4 linked regions of the Macaca fascicularis genome follow. Each later gene encodes a partner of the first gene's protein in a complex. Links are inferred from orthologs where the notes say so. Each region holds a gene or a part of one and is shown in the gene's direction. Other genes may lie near its edges.

Region 1 (3,102 bases):
AAAGGAAATAATAGAGAAAAGTATATAGAAGAAAGCCAAGTCTCCCCAATGCTACCATCCAGAGACAGTTTACCAGTTTTGACCTCTATATAACCATAATTTGACATAAATGGAATCAGCTGTACATGCAACCTGATTTTTTTTTTTTTAAACATGAAACAATGCATTTAGTTTTATGACAATATAGAGGGTTTAATGACTGCATAGGAATCTCTTGTGTGGCTGTACCATAGTTTGTTTTTACTTTTAACCAGTTTCCTGTTAATGGACATTTAGGTGTTGACCAGTTTTTTGCCACTGTAAACAACTCTTTTACTTTGACATATATTGTGAACAGTTGACCAAGCATCTCTTTAGAATCAATTCCCTGAGCTAGGATTTACAAGTCAGAGAGTATTCCATGGCCCTGCTTCAGAGAACCTGGGTTTATCCTTCATGTTCTCACCAACTCTTGTATTAGCTTTTTTTCATCTTTTCCAGTCTAATCGGCAACAAGTAATATCTCATTCTACATATATTTTATTTGTTTACTAGTGAGATTCAGCAGTCTTTCACATGGATAGTAACCATAATTTTTTTTCCTCTTATGAATGTCTGTTTGTGGCCTTTATACGATTAAAACAAAATGTTCTATACTATTAGATAGCCTTACTAAAAGAACGTGCTTATTTTGTGGTTTACAAAACACCAAAAAAAAAAAAAACCCAAAACAAAACACAACATACAAGAAAAACCTCCAACTCTCTGTAGCAGTTTCTGTGTAAGAAAATGTCTTGTTTTGGTTATGTATAGGAGGTTATCTCATGGAGAAGGAAACGGTTATATTTCTAACCCCCTGGGCAGTTTTTTTTGTTTGTTTGTTTTTTGTTTTGTTTTTTGTTTTTTGCCTTTGCTGTGAGAACAGATACTTTAATTAGAAGTGAACTTTTTTTTTTTCTTTTTTTTTTTGAGACCAAGTCTCACTCTGTCACCCAGGCTGGAGTACAGTGGCTCAGTCTTGGCTCACTGCAGCCTCTGCCTCCCAAGTTCAAATGATTCTTCTGCCTCAGCCTCCCGAGTGGCTAGTGTTACAGGCACCCGCCACCACGCCCGACTAATGTTTGTATTTTTAGTAGAGACGGGGTTTCGCCATGTTAGCCAGGCTGATCTTGAACTCCTGACCTCAAGTGATCTGCCTGCCTCTGTGTCCCAAAGTACTGGGATTACAGGCGTGAGCCACTGTGCCCAGCCTGGACATTTCATTTTGAAATTCTTTTCATTAGTTTTCGAACAGGTTTGCATATTGTGCCTCAGAAGTTTCTTGCTCATTTATAATTGTGGCTTATATGTAAAATAATACAGCAGGAAATGAGCTAAAGTTATAGCTTAAGCTTTCTTTGGCTAGGAAATAATTTTATTATTCACAGTCCATTCTGGTTCTTTGAGAGTTTACCGCTTTTAGCAGAATTCTGGTAGATTAATGTCTTATGCTGTCATTACACACACAATTTTGAAAGGAAACTTTTTTGTTTAGAGGATAATGGGGGCAGAGGCAGAGAGTGAGGAGCATATTAATGAAGTTAAGACATCAAATGAGAAACTTATAGACTCGACTAATTGAATCTAGTATTTGTTTTTACTTAAATTTTTTTTTCTAGAAAATACCACTTGAAATTAGAGACAGAGTTAGAGGCTTGCAGATTTTCATCTTTTGAAAAAGATCATTAGGTCAAATTTTACAAAATTTATACCATCTTAACACAATTAAAGATTCACTCAAACTGTTTCCTTGAAAGCTCCCTCAAATGTTTTTGGCCATTTTCTCTATTAGTTTTGATTGGAAAATATTATAGCTGTAACAAAACAGAACAAGATGTGTTATAATGCAATATGTTGCCCTATATTCTCAAGCTGCTCTTCACTGTGAGTCACAGCTTTAAGATGTTCTTTCGGGAGCACCTGCTGTCTCCTCTTCTATTATTTTAACAGATTGTGGAGACTTCCTTTTAACCCTGGAGTACATTCATCTGCTGCAATAGATGTTGTAAAAGGATGAAATAAATCTGCCAGACCCGTATTTCACTTAGTGGCTGAAGTAGGAAATGCCACTGGAACCAAGGATCATTTGTTCATGCATAATTGCCCACCTTGTGCTTAGCTTTCACAGAATGGTATTTTTGTTGGATTAGTCTTATTCTCTTACTTTTTTGAATGCTTTAAAAGTTGCTATGTGGTCATACATACCGTGAGGGAAGTGACAGTTTGTTGTTTTACTGGGTAGTAGTGGGTGCGTGACTGCCTTCCTAGTCTTCATTCAGATTGGCCTAGAGTTGTTTTGTGCTTAAGCTGTTGAGTTTCATTTAGGGTATGAATTTTTTTATTAAGCATCTAAGAGCTAATGAATAAAGAGATTGTCTGCTCTAAGGTATACCCTGTAATTTTCAACTCCTACTTGCCTTGTATTTCTTCTTTTTGACTAAATATGTCTACAGGGGTCCTGGCTTGCTTGGATGGCTACATGAATATAGCCCTGGAGCAGACAGAAGAATATGTAAATGGACAACTGAAGAATAAGTATGGGGATGCATTTATCCGAGGAAACAATGGTAACATTTCTTCACCCTACAGTACAGCATTCATTCAAAATAAGCCTTTCTGTTTATAATCCAGATCACCAAAGAGTTTACTAGATAATTTAAAAGTCCAGTTTTAGGCTTGATTATTTTAAAATGCTTATATGTCAGTTTGACCAGTTATTTTTTTAGATACATCATGGAATTTTTAAACTAAAATTCCCTCCTTCCCTTCCTTTAGTGATGAGGAACTGGGGGCATTGTTCTCCTGACCCGGAACCCTGCTCTCTTGAATATAGTGTATTATTATCTCCCCAACACATATTCCTGCTTCTTGTAGCCTGGAAGTTGCAGCTGTAAGAATGGGCACCATTTCCCTGCTGTCTTTAATTTGCATAATTTGGCAGTTTGTCCTATTTGTCCCTTCTCTATTAAACATTCAGATGCTTTCTGTGCAGATTTGCATCCTTTGATTTGGCAAAAATGGCAAAATAGAAAAAATAAAGTTACTCAGTTTTTTAACAACTAATAAATTGCTATGATTTTTATA
Region 2 (4,531 bases), on another chromosome or scaffold:
CTCACTGTCACCCAGGCTGGAGTGAAGTGCTGCGATCTCAGCTCACTGCAACCTCCATCCCCCGGGTTCAAGCGATTCTCCTGCCTCAGCCTCCCGAGTAGCTGGGATTATAGGCGCGCGGCACCACGCCCGGGTAATTTTTTGTATTTTTAGTAGAGACGGGGTTTCACCATGTTGGTCAGACTGGTCTTAAACTCCCAACCACAGGCGATCCACCGGCCTCGGCTTCCCAAAGTGCCGGGATTACAGGCCTGAGCCACCGCGCCCCGGCATGATTTGTTGTCAATTTGTCATCCAAAGGACCACAAGGATGGCTGGATAGCAGACAAGAGTTTTACTGTCAATGTCAGTTTGCAAACCAGGGGGAGTCTCTAACATGAACCCAAAGTGCTCTCTCAGAAGAACAGAGATTAGAGGTTTTATTTTAAAAAGAGAAATATTATTTCTCTTGGAGAAAGTTCATAGGCACCAGTAAGGGTCTGGGGAGCTCTGACTGGGGAGCGAAGCCGGGGGAGCCAGATCAGTCCTGGAGGTGCAAGTTATGCTGAAGCTATGCAATAAAACTGGCTTCAGGTCGGGCGCGGTGGCTTCCTCCAGTAATTTCAGCGCTTTGGGAGGCCGAAGCGGGCGGATCACTTGAGGTCAGGGGTTCGAAACCAGCCTGGCCAACATGGTTAAACCCCGTCTCTACTAAGTACAAAAAAACTAGCCGGGCTGGCGCCTGTAGTCCCAGCTTACGGGGAGGCTGAGGCAGGAGAAGCGCTTGAACCCGGGAGGCGGGGGCTGCAGTGGGCCGAGATCACGCCACTGCACTCCAGCCTGCGCGACAGAACGAGACAACGTCTCAAAAAAAATTTTTTTTCTTTATAAAAAGACAAAAACTCTGGTTTCGGGTTACAACAGGCAGCTCAGCAGCCGGCCTGACGGTGACATTCCTCAAGGACGGCCTGCCCAGTGCTTCCCCCCACCCCGCTGCTCGGCTCTGCCGTGGCTGGGTATGGCAACAACGACACATTTTTATGGTCAAGTTTCACAAATGACACACACGAACCGTCTCGCTAACACACAGCACAAACGATGACCCGAAACAGACACCGGAAAGGAAAAAAACGAGCCGCAGTGCCGGGCATGCCGGGCCTTTCTGAAGACGTCCCCATCCGTGGCTGGAGGACAGCCCGGGCGGCGGCGGGCGGCCTCGGGGCGGGTGCGTCGGGGCAGGGCACGGCGAGCCCGGGGCTTCTCAGGACCACCAGGCCGCCTGGACGCTGGGGAGGAACCCCCACTCCGACGCCGGCTAGGAGGGCACCAACCGCGCTCCACCGTGGCCAGGTCGCCGCCGCTCCCGCCGGCCAACGACAAGTTAGCGCGGCGTCTGTACGCGCGTGACGTCAGCACGCACGGCGCCAGCCCGTGCGCATGACGTCAGCACGCACGGCGTCGGTGCGTGCGCGCCCAGAGGTTCCGCCCGGCGGCAGTGCCAGCGGAGCTTGCGGGTGCGGGTGGGACCGGGTTTCGGCTGTGGGCCCGGGGGCGGCGGGGGCCGCGGAGTGAGGGGCCGGCTGAGCCCACCACCTCGCTGGGCCCTCCCTGGCGCCCGGCCTCGGGCGGCGGCGAGCGCGCGGGTCGCCATGTCGTACATGCTCCCGCACCTGCACAACGGCTGGCAGGTGGACCAGGCCATTCTCTCCGAGGAGGACCGCGTGGTCGTCATCCGCTTCGGCCACGACTGGGACCCCACCTGCATGAAGATGGACGAGGTCCTATACAGCATCGCCGAGAAGGTAGCGCGCCGGGCCCTCCCGCCCTGCTGGCTGTGCTTCCGCAGCGGCCCCGCGCCTCTGCCCCGCCGGCCTCGCCTGGGGGCGCGAGCCGTTCCCCGAGGAGGGGCCGCGGCGCGGTCGTCCGGGCGATTCCTTCCCGCGCTGCGGGCGAGCGCTCTCGGGGACTGTGCCGGCGTTTCGCGCCTTTTTCTGCAGGGAGGTCCTGTAGTTGTTCACGTTTTAAAGGGTTTATGATCCCCCTCCCCTCGAAGGAATTCATTATTTCTGTTGGTAAGGCGTTTTTCCCAATCTTACAGTGCAGTGAACAAAGTAACACTTGCAGATTTTGAGAGCGCAGATCCTTAATTTAAAAGGATGCCCTTTTTTGGTGCCTTGTTTGTTTGTTGTATGTGTAAAGCAGAACTTTCATGTTAATAGCATAAGAAATCCTGTTTTTCTGTTGTTGTTTTCTCCCACCGCGCTTTTTGTAAGTCATGTGATTTATAGCTTAGAGTGATTAAGATGCAGAAAACATCGGGAGAAAATAGAACTATGCTTTGTTGGAACTAGTTTTCTGAATTTCTAATATTAGTACATTGAGTGGCCTTGGCACTTACTTGCTGACAATAAAAGTTGTGGGACACTATTTTATAACCAGGTTTCATTCTTTTTCTGTGGTTCCTCACAGCAATTTTAGGATGGCGTTTATTTAGGTTTTGCAGCTGTAGCAATAGGGCAAAGGGCACAAATACTAGGGTGTTAATAAAATATTTGCCATATTAATTTTCCGTAAGTAATTTGAGCGGTTATTCATTTTGATGAAGAGTAAAAGTAACATTGAAGCTATCTTTTCTTTCACAGATGCTAAAGTAGGCTGGGTTAAAATAACTCCTTTGAGTAAAGAGTAACAGATATAAAGACATTTTATATTGAGGAAAGGAAAGACTGTCTGGCCTGCCATTTATTAATTCTTGCTATTTCTTATTTAGTAGGAGAGGCGTGATGTTAGGAACTGTTGTTATATTTTAGTTATTACAAGAATCTCTTGGAGTGCTTACTAAAATGCATCTGTGATTCTGAGTCTATGGGTGTGGGGTGAAGTCCAGCAATGGCTTTTTAAAGAAGCCCCTCAGGGAATTCTGATGTGACCTGACCTTGAACCACACACTCAGAAACCCTTCCATGGGGGTCAGGGACAGAGGCGGAGTGCTTTATTACCAGCCATCTCCCAGCCTCTTCCTCTTGGACAGCAGGACACTGAGGACTTGAGGAGCTGCCTAGGGAATCAGGAGAGCAGCAGTTCTCTCACACTGGGGCTTCTGCCAGCCAGGGATTAGAGATGATGAGTGAGGCAGTGCCAGCACATCAGCTTTTCATTGCTTGACTTGTAGTGGACAAGGGCAGATACTGGAAATCCAGCGAAGAATTGACGAAGAGCAGTTTCCCAATAAGTAAATCACTGCTTGTAAATCACTGACTTTGAGTTACGAGTTCTAGAATCTTTCACTGTTCTACCTTGCAGATGGTGGCATAAACATCAGCTGGTGTTCAGATCCTGCTGCCGGCAGCTCGAGGCTAGGATGGCTGGCGATGTGAGGGCCTTTGTCTCATCACATCCAGGCAGAGCTCAGCAAGATGCTCTTAGCTAGGAAACAGATTTTATGTGTTAATGTAAGTGTTAGGGTCTTTGCCAGATTTGCTCTTTTTTTCCAATTCCTTTATGTCCGATTTCTTTGTTATTACAGAATGAATCACTGTATCACTAGTGGACACACACTTAAGGACAGTTGAAATGGGCTCACTTTGGGGTATTTTTTTTTTTTTTTTGGTCTTTTAAAATAGTTTGATTTTTGTTTCTGTCCAAAAATTTGGATTGCTTTATTAATAAACTTTTAATGCAAATATTATAGTATAATTATTAAAAGCGCAAACCTAGGCCAGGCACGGTGGTTCATATCTGTAATCCCAGCACTTTGGTTGGGAGGCTAGTGTAGGCAGATCACTTGAGCCCAGGAATTCGAGACCAGCCTGGACAATATGGTGAAACCCGTTCTCTACTAAAAGTACAAATGCCAGACGTGGTGGCACATGCCTGTAGTCCCAGCTACTTGGGAGGCTGAGGTGGGAGAATCACCTGAGCCCGGGAAGTCAAGGCTGCAGTGAGCCATGATTATACCACTGAACTCCAGCCTGGGCAACAGGAGTGAGACCCTGTCTCCAAAAATAAGTGCAAACCTGAAATGCATTAAAAGACTATTCGTGTTTTATTTTCTTCTTAGTATATGGGCAAAATATGACTTTCTAATTCTGGAAGCTCTTTTGGGGAAACTCAACAGAAATTTTTGAAATGTAAGATTTTAGTATAAAGAACAATATAACTATTTAAAAATTTCCCTGTGCAGAAATGGCAGATAATGGAGAATCTTCCTTATCTTGTTATGAGTCCTGTCGATGTCCCAGCTGTTTTAAAGTGAGTAACAGTTGCAGATGTTCGGCTGGACTTGATACGATTTTTTCCTGGATGTGTTGTATTGATCTGCTGCTTCCACAAGGCCCACTGGCCTCATGCTGGGTTAGAGCTGAGCTGTGAACTTCAGGAAGAAAGTTAGTCTGGAAACAGAGCTACACTTAAATATTTCACAGGTGCCTACAGTTTGCTAATAAGTGTGGGGCAATTCATTTGATAAAGTGATAATAATAAAGTTTTCAGCTGGGCATTGTGTCGCACGCCTGTGGTCCCAGCACTTTGGGAGGCCGAGGTGGGTGGTTCC
Region 3 (4,796 bases), on another chromosome or scaffold:
AGGTGTGGTGGCGTGCACCTGTAATCCCAGCTATTCGAGAGACTGAGGTGGGAGAATTGCTTGAACCGGGAGGTAGAGGTTGCAGTGAGCTGAGATCATGCCACCGCACTCCAGCCTGGGAGACAGAGCAAGACTCCGTCTCAAAAAAACAAACAAACAAACAAAAAAAACACTCCTGCTTCAGAAAAGCCTTCCCAGGCAAACTGAGTCCCTCCCTCCACAGCGTTCTGTGATCTTTCTATCTTTCTTCCACCTTTGGCTTTCCTCCTCCTTCCAAATGTCTGGGGTCTCTAGGTCCCTGGCCTCAGAATAGGGGGAGTCCAGGGGGCTGACAGGGCAGCTGGGGGTGGAGGTGCGGTTCGCAGAAAGCTTCTGAGGGGGCCCTCCAGCCTTGCAGAGACCACGGGCATTTCAGGGTAAGAGAAAAGACTAGACAACGAAGCTCCTGCAATGAGCTGCAGGCTTCCCTGGCGCCAGGTCACAACTGGACGGCACGTTCATCCAGATGCGACATGGACTGACATACTTTGAAAGGGTCACTCCTGCTGTGTCGAGGATGGACTAGGGATGTGGGGGACAAAGGCAGCCACAGCAGGGGGATGGCGGTGGGGCTGGAAGAGTGGAGACTAAGAAGGAGCCCAGTGGCAGCGACGCCTTAAGAGAACTCTGAGAGAGGAGTGAAGGTTAAGGGCCGCATTTGTGAGGCTGCTCCGGGTTCCATTCCCTGAGCCACCAAACTCAGGTAAGAGGTAAGATTTGGAATTAAGAAAATAAAAGATGCAGTTACGACAGTGCCATCTCGTAGACTGTCCCCGCTAGAACCTGACACTCTACATCAAAGGATACACAATGAATATAAGGAAGGCGTGCTGTCCCTAGGCGCTGGTCACCCTGGGTAGCATCTCCAGAATCCACACCATAGTCGACCCCCCTTCTCCAGACGAGCAACTGACGCTCAAAGCAGGGAATTCCCTCGTCCAAGGTCACGGAGTAAAAGATGGAGCGGGAATACGACCCCAGTGCAGGGCTGGGCTCTTGGCCGCTCCAGGATGCTGGCCAGTCACTGGGGGACACGCGGGACGCCTCTGGGTTCCCCCACCGCACCCCCTAGGGTGAGGTTAGCTTAGCACCGGGCCATTCCGCCTAAAGGGAAACTGAGGCTCGGAGCGGGGTGGGCGGCCGCCTGCCCAAGGCCACAGAGCGGGAGAGAGGCGTCCCCCGCGGCGGCTGGAGACCCCGAAACGGACAAGCAGAACAGGGAGATGGAGGGGGCACAAACTTCAGGCCCGGTGGGAAGTGAGGGGCGCTGCAGCGGCGGAGGGCCTCCGAGGCGGGGAAGGGAGAGAAGCCGGGGACAGCCCCGCAAGGTCACGGCCGGGCCCCGGCACCGCCGGCCGACAACGAGGGGACCGCGGATCCCCGAGGCTGGACCCCCAAGACGGGCCAAGAGGGGTCGTTCCTGCGCGTAGCCTCGGGGCCGAGAGGCCGAAGGGCCGCAGCCTGCGGTGCCGTCGGGACCGGTGCCGCGCTCACCTGGGCCGCGAGGAGCAGAAAGGCCGCCACAAGCCGCGCCAGCGCAGCCGCCGCCACCGCCGCCATCTCGGCCGGTGCCCGCCGCAACCGTCGGCAGATGTTTCCCAGCAACGCCCCGAGACCCCGGGCCACGCATGCGCCGCGCATGCGCGTGGGGGGGAGGGGAGAGGTCACAGGGCACGGGGCGGTGTCTGCGAAGAGCCTCACGGCGCGACAAGATGGCGGTGAGCGCGCGGCAGAATCCGGAGCCGGGGGGCGTGGGGCTCGGGCCGCGCTCCAGGCCTCATGCGCTCTGCTTTCCCCGCAGGATAAGGAGAAGAAGAAAAAGGAGAGCATCTTGGACTTGTCCAAGTACATCGACAAGACGATCCGGGTGAAGTTTCAGGGAGGACGCGAAGGTGAGGCGGCTCCCGCCGTTGGCACCCCCCCTTTAAAATTTTAAAATAAAGTCAGCAACAGAGGTGATGAGGATGCATGCAGAGGCGCCTCTTTTATTTATTTTTATTTATGTATTTATTTTGAGACGCAGTCTCGCTCCGTCGCCCAGTCTGGAGTGCAAGTGGTGCGATCTCAGCTCACTGCAACCTCCGCCTCCCGGGTTCAAGCGATTCTCCTGCCTCAGCCTCCTGCGTGGCTGGGGCTACAGGCGCCACCACTCCTGGCTAATTTTTGTATTTCTAGTAGAGACGGGGTTTCACCATGTTGGCCAGGCTGGTCTCAAGCTTCTGACCTCAAGTGATTCGCCCGTCTCGGCCTCCCAAAGTGCTGGGATGACAGGCGTGAGCCGCCGCAGAGGCGCCTCTTTACACGCTTGACGCCGACTACCTTGTGCAGGCTTCCGAATTACGCCGGGAGGTAGGAACTGGTATGGCCATGTTGCAGGCGGGGAAACTGGGGCAAGGAGCGGGAAACAAACGTAATCCAAAGTCACAGTGGCGCAGCCGGTATTGGGATTTCCGGCTTGGCCTCCAGAGCAGTCCTGTGTGTCCAAGGACTGCCCCAGATCCCCACAGATCTCCCGGCTTCTCCTCTTCCTCCCTCTAAGTCAAGGTCTTTCCCGCACAGCAGTGTGGACACATTTGGGGCCGGATTCTCTGGAGTGGGGCCGTCCTGGGGCACTGCAGGGTGCTGAGCAGCATCCCTGGCCTCCACCAAGTTGTGACAACCTAAATAGCCTCAGACATTGCTTAGTGTTCTCTGGGGATAGGATCGCCCCCCGACCCCCAAGCTGTGATTGGGAATCACAGCTACTAAGGTCAGTCTCCACTCAGCGGCCAGAGGCACCTAATGAAAAAGAAATGGAGGCTTCTTGCTCCCTGCTGAAAACCTCTGAGGCTCCCGGTTGTTTTGGAGTAAAATCCGAATCCATACTTCTGATTATGACTGCAAAGGGCGGCAGAAGCACAAGTTCCACAGGTGCTTGCTCTGGGAAGCCCTCCCTGACCCTGGCGTCAGGCCCCCCATCGTTCTAGGATCCTGGTAGCACCTGTCACCGTTTGCGGTTTCGTGCATGTTAACCTGATGCTTGCCTCTGCCTGCAACTCTTCCATGGAATCTAGTGAAGACAGGGCGAGCTCTCAGAGGGCAGGAAGCATTCGCATGGGCAGTGGGCTGGTGATGCATGCTGCAGCTCTTGGCGGGACGCAGGGACTCACGCCTGTAACCCCAGCACTTTGGGAGGCTGAGGCAGGCGGATCATATGATCAGGAGATCGAGACCAGCCTGACCAACATGGGGTTTCGTGAAACCCCATCTCTACGAAAAATACAAAAAAATTAGCTGGGCGTGGTGGTGCACACCTGTAATCCCAACAACTCAGGAGGCTGAGGCAGGAGAATCTCTTGAACCCAGGAGGCAGAGGTTGCAGTGAGCTGAGATCGCGCCACTGCACTCCAGTCTGGGAGACAGAGCGAGACTCCGTCTAAAAATAAATAAATCACACACACGCACACACACAGCAGAGAAAGGGTTTGCTCCCTGAAGGACTCACCTGATATGGTCAGGCTCACCCAGGGTGTTTCCCTCTAGATTGGCTCAAAGTCAGCTGGTTCAGGGGCTTAAACAGCTGCATAACCTAAGTGCAGGAGTGACGTCATGTCCCCTCAGAGTCACAGGCCCGAGCCCACACCCCGGGGAGGGGAACCTTGGTTAGAGACCTACCTACCTCAGTGCTCACATCTGTCCCTGTGAGGAGGGCTGGCTCACTGGTCAGGCTGGTGCCAAGGACCTGAACCGTTGCGTCTGACCCCATCTCATAGGTGACAGGTTTCATTTTGCAGGGGAGGGACTTGAGCGCAGAGAGAGGGAGCCGTGGAGGTAGGAGCTAAAGCCTGTATGCAGGTGGGCAGACCTTCTCTGTAGAAGGCCAGACAGCAAATATCTTCAGCTTTGCAGCCCAGATGGTCTCTTGTCACAACCAGTGAGCTATGCCCGCAGAGCAGGAGAGCCGCCCTGGTCAGTGCCTGAGCGGGCGAGTGTGCTGGTGGGCCAGTGAAACTTTGGCATACAGAGATGAGCGGTGGGCCACTTTCGCCTCTGGTCGTAGTTCGCAGCGCAGAACGGCCATGGACAGGCTCACAGCCCTGCCTTGGGAGAAGATAGGCGGGCAGAATAATGCCTGGGGTGCCTGCTTCCTGAGATTGGTGGGGGGCATGCAGAGGGCAGCACCCTAAGGGGTGTGGGTTGGTGTCTGGAGGAAGCACCTGAAAGATGACAGGGGTAAGAAGGAGGGTAGGGAGCGGGTGGCTGAGGGACGCCCCTCAGTGAGCGCAGAGGCGGAACCGCTCCTGGGCCTGGGCTGGAGGAGCCTGGGGGGAGAGGACGGGAGTCCCGGACAGGGAGGGTGGGCTGGCCTCTGCTGAGGACACACAGCTCCCCCTTCATCCTTCTCAGTGTCACCAGACACTGCGGAGCAGGATCAGATGGCAGAGGTCACCACCGGGTCAGAGAGCCCTAACCCAAGGTGCCAAGTTGTGACCTAAGGCGGCGAGGCTTGGGGGGTGGGGCAGGCAGCGTGGAGAGAGAAGCCACAGCAACCGCCTCAGCCCCCAAAGCCTTTGCACCCGGGTCTCAGAGCATCTCTCTTGCCCGCTCCCCGCAAGCCCTGAGCTGCAGGGCTGGGATTTGTTCTTCTGTATTCCGTGAACTCACTGAGGGACCTAGCACAGGTCAGGCAGCGCAGTCACCACCGCTGTCCCAGCAGAGCACTCCGTCTCCCCTAGAGGAAGCCCTGTCCCCATCAGCTGTCACTGCCTGTCGCCTCC
Region 4 (4,532 bases), on another chromosome or scaffold:
TTAGCCTCCTATAAAAATTATACAGGTCAACATGATAAGGATTAAGTGAGAATGATGGAAGTGAAAACTCCTTGAAAGTATATAGAGATACAAATTATTACATGTATCTAGGATGAAACTAGGGACTGTGAAGTATACAAAGGAAGAAATATTTCCTTCTCCCATGAAGCTTAGGATATTACAGGCGATATTATCAACACAAAACACTGGCACATTACATTTCAAATTGCTTTGTACTAAATCAGGCATTATCTTCTACCAGATTCCAATGCAGACAAATGGTAGAGAAAGCCAAAGTTCCAAAGAGGGAAAGAGAGGGATAGGGATACCTAAAAGGAAAAAAAAGGTCTACTATACATTTTACCTTTTCTGCAAACTGCGAAAAACTGGCCACTACGGAGCAGTATAGAGTAGCAGTTAAAAGTGCTGGCTGTAGAGGTTAAAGGGCACAGGTTCTAATCCCACTGCGCCACTGATCTTGAACAATTAGTTTCATTTCTAACTAGGCCTTAGTTTCCTCATCTGTATCCTACTTTGCTGTTGTAGGAAGTGAATAACGTAATGCAGAGTAAGCTCTTGGAACATTACTTGGCATTTAATAAATGTTCAATAAATAACACCTATTATGGCTGTAATTTTTCTAGGGGGTTGGATGAGGATCTGGCCAGCTACGGAAACGTCAATATTTTGAGGATCTCCCACCGTCCACGTGGGGATAAAAACCTTATGCTGTTCGTCTCTAATACCCCAGCATCCAGCAGGGCAGAGAGACGTACAGTTCCCTGACACCCTCCTAACCATCATCTTACTCTCAATCTGATACAAAGACCAGGCTGAAGACAAATGAACAAAATCAGGCCGAAGCTCCTCCGCCGGGTCTTTATTTGACTTTGGCACCAGCGGGCTCTTCTAGCTTAATCTCTCGCTGCAGCCCAAATCCACCGCCGAGCCATCAAGCTCATAGGTGGCCCCTGGGAAGACTTCCGGACCATGGAAGAGAACAGTCCTCGTCCCCTAGCTCCAGGCCTGTACCTCGGATCCCAGGGTTTCTATGGTAACACGGTCCTCGGCTCCCAGAAGACGTAAACGCCCCCGTAGGCCCGGGGAGGCACAGCGGGCCCCGGAAGCCCTCGACTCGCTCCAGAGTTCAGCCCCGAGCCGCGCGAGTCGACTTACCTACCTCTTTTCAAGTCGGCTCAGCCCCTTCCCGGAACCTCGGCTCCCCTCCACGAAACTACTGCTACGCCAACTGGACTACACTTCCCAGACGGCTTGGAGCCTCTCTCTCAGCAGAACCTCGTCTTCCGCGAGCTTTTCTTGGAGGTTCTAGGAGGGATGCCCCTCAATGCCACGACGCCATTTCCTACTACGACTTCCATCATGCTCCGCGCCGCTCCGGGCGCAGCGACGGCTCTTGGCCCATGTCCTGTTTGCGACACACTTCCGGTCAGTGACGCACTTCCGCTCTGCTGGGCGCGCGGTGGAAGGTCTGAAACGGAGAGCTTGGATTTCGCTGGGGCCTCGCGGCTCCAGAGCCCAGCATGGCTTCCTCGCGAACCTCCTCCACGGTACAGAGCCCGGGATCGCAACTCACTCTGGCAGGGAGCGCGAAGGGGGAAGAGGATCTCTGCGGGAAGGGGCCGTTAGGGAGCGAGAGAAGGCGGTGGAGGGCTGAGGAGGAAGGCTGCGGGACTCAGTGGTGTTCTACACAGCGGACCACCGTTTTCCTGACCCCTAAGCGCTTTCGTGGACTGTAGCTTATTTGCACCTCTCCCACTACAGCCCCAAAGGGCAAACATCTCTTCCGACTCATCCAGTAACGGTGCTCTGAAATAGGGAAGTGTCTTGGCCAAGGTTTATGCGTTTGGCAGATCTCAAAATTTTAATGAGACCTACTAACTTCTACCTCACGTCTAGAAACGTTTGAAATGTATACACTCGTAATGTTGTAACTTGTTATCCTTTAGCACCGCGTTGGTTATTTCATCTATCCTTAGTATTTCCCCAGTGATGAGCAGTAATCTTGGATACATCGTAAAACACGAGATTCCACGTTTCCAGCAGAATAAAGTAAACAGATTCCAGAGCAAACCTTTCATATGAAAATACTCGAGAGAACCTCACTAGTTTTATCAATCCCGTCAGCTAAAGTGAGGGACTGAAACACCCTCCCCTTCACCTCAAATCGATGAAGAACATCTTAAGTAGTGTCCAATTTGTCCTTTCAATTATGAAGGAAATAGGACTGTGAAACTCAGGGCGAGCTTCATCCTCGGGAAATCCGGTAAATTGCCAAGATTAAACCTCAATTTAATCCAGATTTTTGATTTGGCAGGCAACCAAAACTAAAACACCCGATGACTTAGTTGCTCCGGTTGTGAAGAAACCACACATCTATTATGGAAGTTTGGAAGAGAAGGAGAGGGAGCGTCTGGCCAAAGGAGAGTCTGGGATTTTGGGGAAAGAAGGACTTAAAGCAGGGATCGAAGCTGGAAATATTAATATAACCTCTGGTAAGATGCAAATTGTGAACCCATCTTTACCTCTTTGTGTAATGAATACTTTCCTAAACTTGAATATCATCAGTTTTATAATGTCAAAAAATTTAAGTTCTTTTGTTTTAGACGGAGTCTCGCTCTGTCACCAGGCTGGAGTGCAGTGGCGCGATGTCTGCTCACTGCAACCCCCGCCTCCCGGGTTCAGGCAGTTCTCCTTCAGCCTCCGGAGTAGCCGGGATAACAGGCGCACACCAACAAGCCCAACTAATTTTTGTATTTTTAGTAGAGACGGGGTTTCATCATGTTGGTCAAACTCCTGACCTTGTGATCCCTCCCCCTCGTCCTCCCAAAGTGCTGGGATTACAAGCGTGAGCCACTGCGCCTGGCAGAATTTCAATTCTTAAACTTGCATCTATAAGGCTGTATTTTGCCTACCCCCTTAAAATCATGCAGAGAGCCTTTTTCTTACAATGTGTTACATAGTTTTGCTTCTATGAGTGAGCAGTCTTATCAAAAATTCAGTGTACATTTGGATTCAGATTGATTCCATTTGTCTTCTGGAGATCTAACATAGTTCTGGCATTGGTTTGCAGCTAGAGTGGTTCGTGATAATCTCCCTTTTGAAGTTTTCCAATTATTTTTTACCCAAAGGGAAATATCTTTTTTTTTTTTTTTTTTTTTTTTTTTGACACAGGGTCTCACTCTCTTGCCCAGGCTGGAATGCAGTGGCATAACCGTGGCTCACTGCAACCTCTGCCTTTTGTGTTCAAGTGATTCTCCTGCCTCAGCTTCACGATTAGCTGAGATTACAGGTGCCGGCTACCACACCCAGCTAATTGTTGTATTTTTAGTAGAGACGGGGTTTCACCATGTTGCGCAGGCTGGTCTCCAACTCCTGACCTCAAATGATCTGCCCACTTCGGCCTCCCAAAGTGCTGGGATTACGGGCGTGAGCCACTGCACCTGGCTGAGATATCTTGTTTTATTATAAAAGTAATAGTGGCCAAGCCTGGTGGCTGAAACCTGTAATCCCAGCACTTTGGGAGGCTGCGAAGTGGGAGTCCGGCTTGAGCCCAGGAATTCGAGACCAGCCTGGGCAAATAGTGATACCCCATCTCTACAAAAAGTAGAAAATTAGCCGGGCATGGTGACGCGTGCCTGTATTCCCAGCTAATTGGGGTTCTGAGGTGGGAGTTCAAGGCTGCAGTGAGTCATGATTGTACCACTGCACTCCAGCCTGGACAACAGAGAGAGACCCTGTCTCAAAAAAAAAAGGTAATAGTTATTTTTCTTTTAAAAGATCAAACAGTGTATGAATGTGTGAAGTAGAAAATCCAGTATTTTTTAATTAATTGATTGTATATCTTAGAATTTTAATACAGCTATAAAAATACGTCATTTTTTCCATAAGTGAAAACATGATACGTAAATTGTTGTATAACCCCCATTTTTCATTTTATATACCATTGAGGATATCTTTCCATGTCAGTAATGAGAGGTCCACTCTATTTTTAAAATAAAATTACGCATATTTGTCATAAGAAATTCAGACAATACCAGAGGGCATAAAATGAAGACTCCTCTGGCTGGGTGTGATGGCTCACGCCTGTAATCCCAGCACTTTGGGAGACTGAGGTGGGTGGATCACGACGTCAGGAGATGGAAACCATCCTGGCTAACATGGTGAAACCCCGTCTCTACTAAAAATACAAAAAAATTAGCCAGTTGTGGTGGCGGGCTCCTGTAGTCCCAGCTATTCGGGAGGCTGAGACAGGAGAATGGTGTGAACCCGGGAGGCGGAGCTTGCAGTGAGCTGAGATGGCGCCACTGCACTCCAGCCTGGGCGACAGAGCGAGACTCCGTCTCAAAAAACTGAAGACTCTTCTGCAGTAGGGACATCTGTCAGGTTTCTCATTGATCCTCCCACACATTTTCTAAACACATGTGCTGTAGCCTAGTGACTTTTTAAAGTTTTTATACTGTTTTTAAACATAATGTCACCACTGTACCTCTCATTTTTTATCACACTTGTAT

What was found. Proteins that work in one complex are often made in the same cells at the same time.
Region 2: LSM6 (region 1) and TXNL4A share a complex: the UniProt entries of both Homo sapiens proteins name them as parts of the precatalytic spliceosome. The link is inferred for Macaca fascicularis from reciprocal best matches to the Homo sapiens genes LSM6 and TXNL4A.
Region 3: LSM6 (region 1) and LSM7 share a complex: the UniProt entries of both Homo sapiens proteins name them as parts of the precatalytic spliceosome. The link is inferred for Macaca fascicularis from reciprocal best matches to the Homo sapiens genes LSM6 and LSM7.
Region 4: LSM6 (region 1) and PRPF4 share a complex: the UniProt entries of both Homo sapiens proteins name them as parts of the precatalytic spliceosome. The link is inferred for Macaca fascicularis from reciprocal best matches to the Homo sapiens genes LSM6 and PRPF4.

The regions. Positions count from the first base shown.
Region 1 is NC_088379.1:151,041,052-151,044,153, forward strand, and holds part of LSM6 (U6 snRNA-associated Sm-like protein LSm6), read left to right. Parts: intron 1-2,471; coding exon 2,472-2,585; intron 2,586-3,102. UniProt on the Homo sapiens protein: Plays a role in pre-mRNA splicing as component of the U4/U6-U5 tri-snRNP complex that is involved in spliceosome assembly, and as component of the precatalytic spliceosome (spliceosome B complex).
Region 2 is NC_088392.1:1,012,390-1,016,920, forward strand, and holds the start of TXNL4A (thioredoxin-like protein 4A), read left to right. Parts: upstream 1-1,454; 5' UTR 1,455-1,628; coding exon 1,629-1,781; exon of another isoform or gene 1,782-2,051; intron 2,052-3,358; exon of another isoform or gene 3,359-3,395; coding exon of another isoform or gene 3,396-3,431; intron 3,432-4,162; exon of another isoform or gene 4,163-4,164; coding exon of another isoform or gene 4,165-4,230; intron 4,231-4,531. UniProt on the Homo sapiens protein: Plays a role in pre-mRNA splicing as component of the U5 snRNP and U4/U6-U5 tri-snRNP complexes that are involved in spliceosome assembly, and as component of the precatalytic spliceosome (spliceosome B complex).
Region 3 is NC_088393.1:2,987,863-2,992,658, reverse strand, and holds the start of LSM7 (U6 snRNA-associated Sm-like protein LSm7), read left to right. Parts: upstream 1-1,719; 5' UTR 1,720-1,751; coding exon 1,752-1,757; intron 1,758-1,840; coding exon 1,841-1,931; intron 1,932-4,796. Other genes in the region: SPPL2B (signal peptide peptidase-like 2B), read right to left, coding at 1,534-1,599. UniProt on the Homo sapiens protein: Plays a role in pre-mRNA splicing as component of the U4/U6-U5 tri-snRNP complex that is involved in spliceosome assembly, and as component of the precatalytic spliceosome (spliceosome B complex).
Region 4 is NC_088389.1:44,822,503-44,827,034, reverse strand, and holds the start of PRPF4 (U4/U6 small nuclear ribonucleoprotein Prp4), read left to right. Parts: upstream 1-1,455; 5' UTR 1,456-1,541; coding exon 1,542-1,568; intron 1,569-2,335; coding exon 2,336-2,513; intron 2,514-4,532. UniProt on the Homo sapiens protein: Plays a role in pre-mRNA splicing as component of the U4/U6-U5 tri-snRNP complex that is involved in spliceosome assembly, and as component of the precatalytic spliceosome (spliceosome B complex).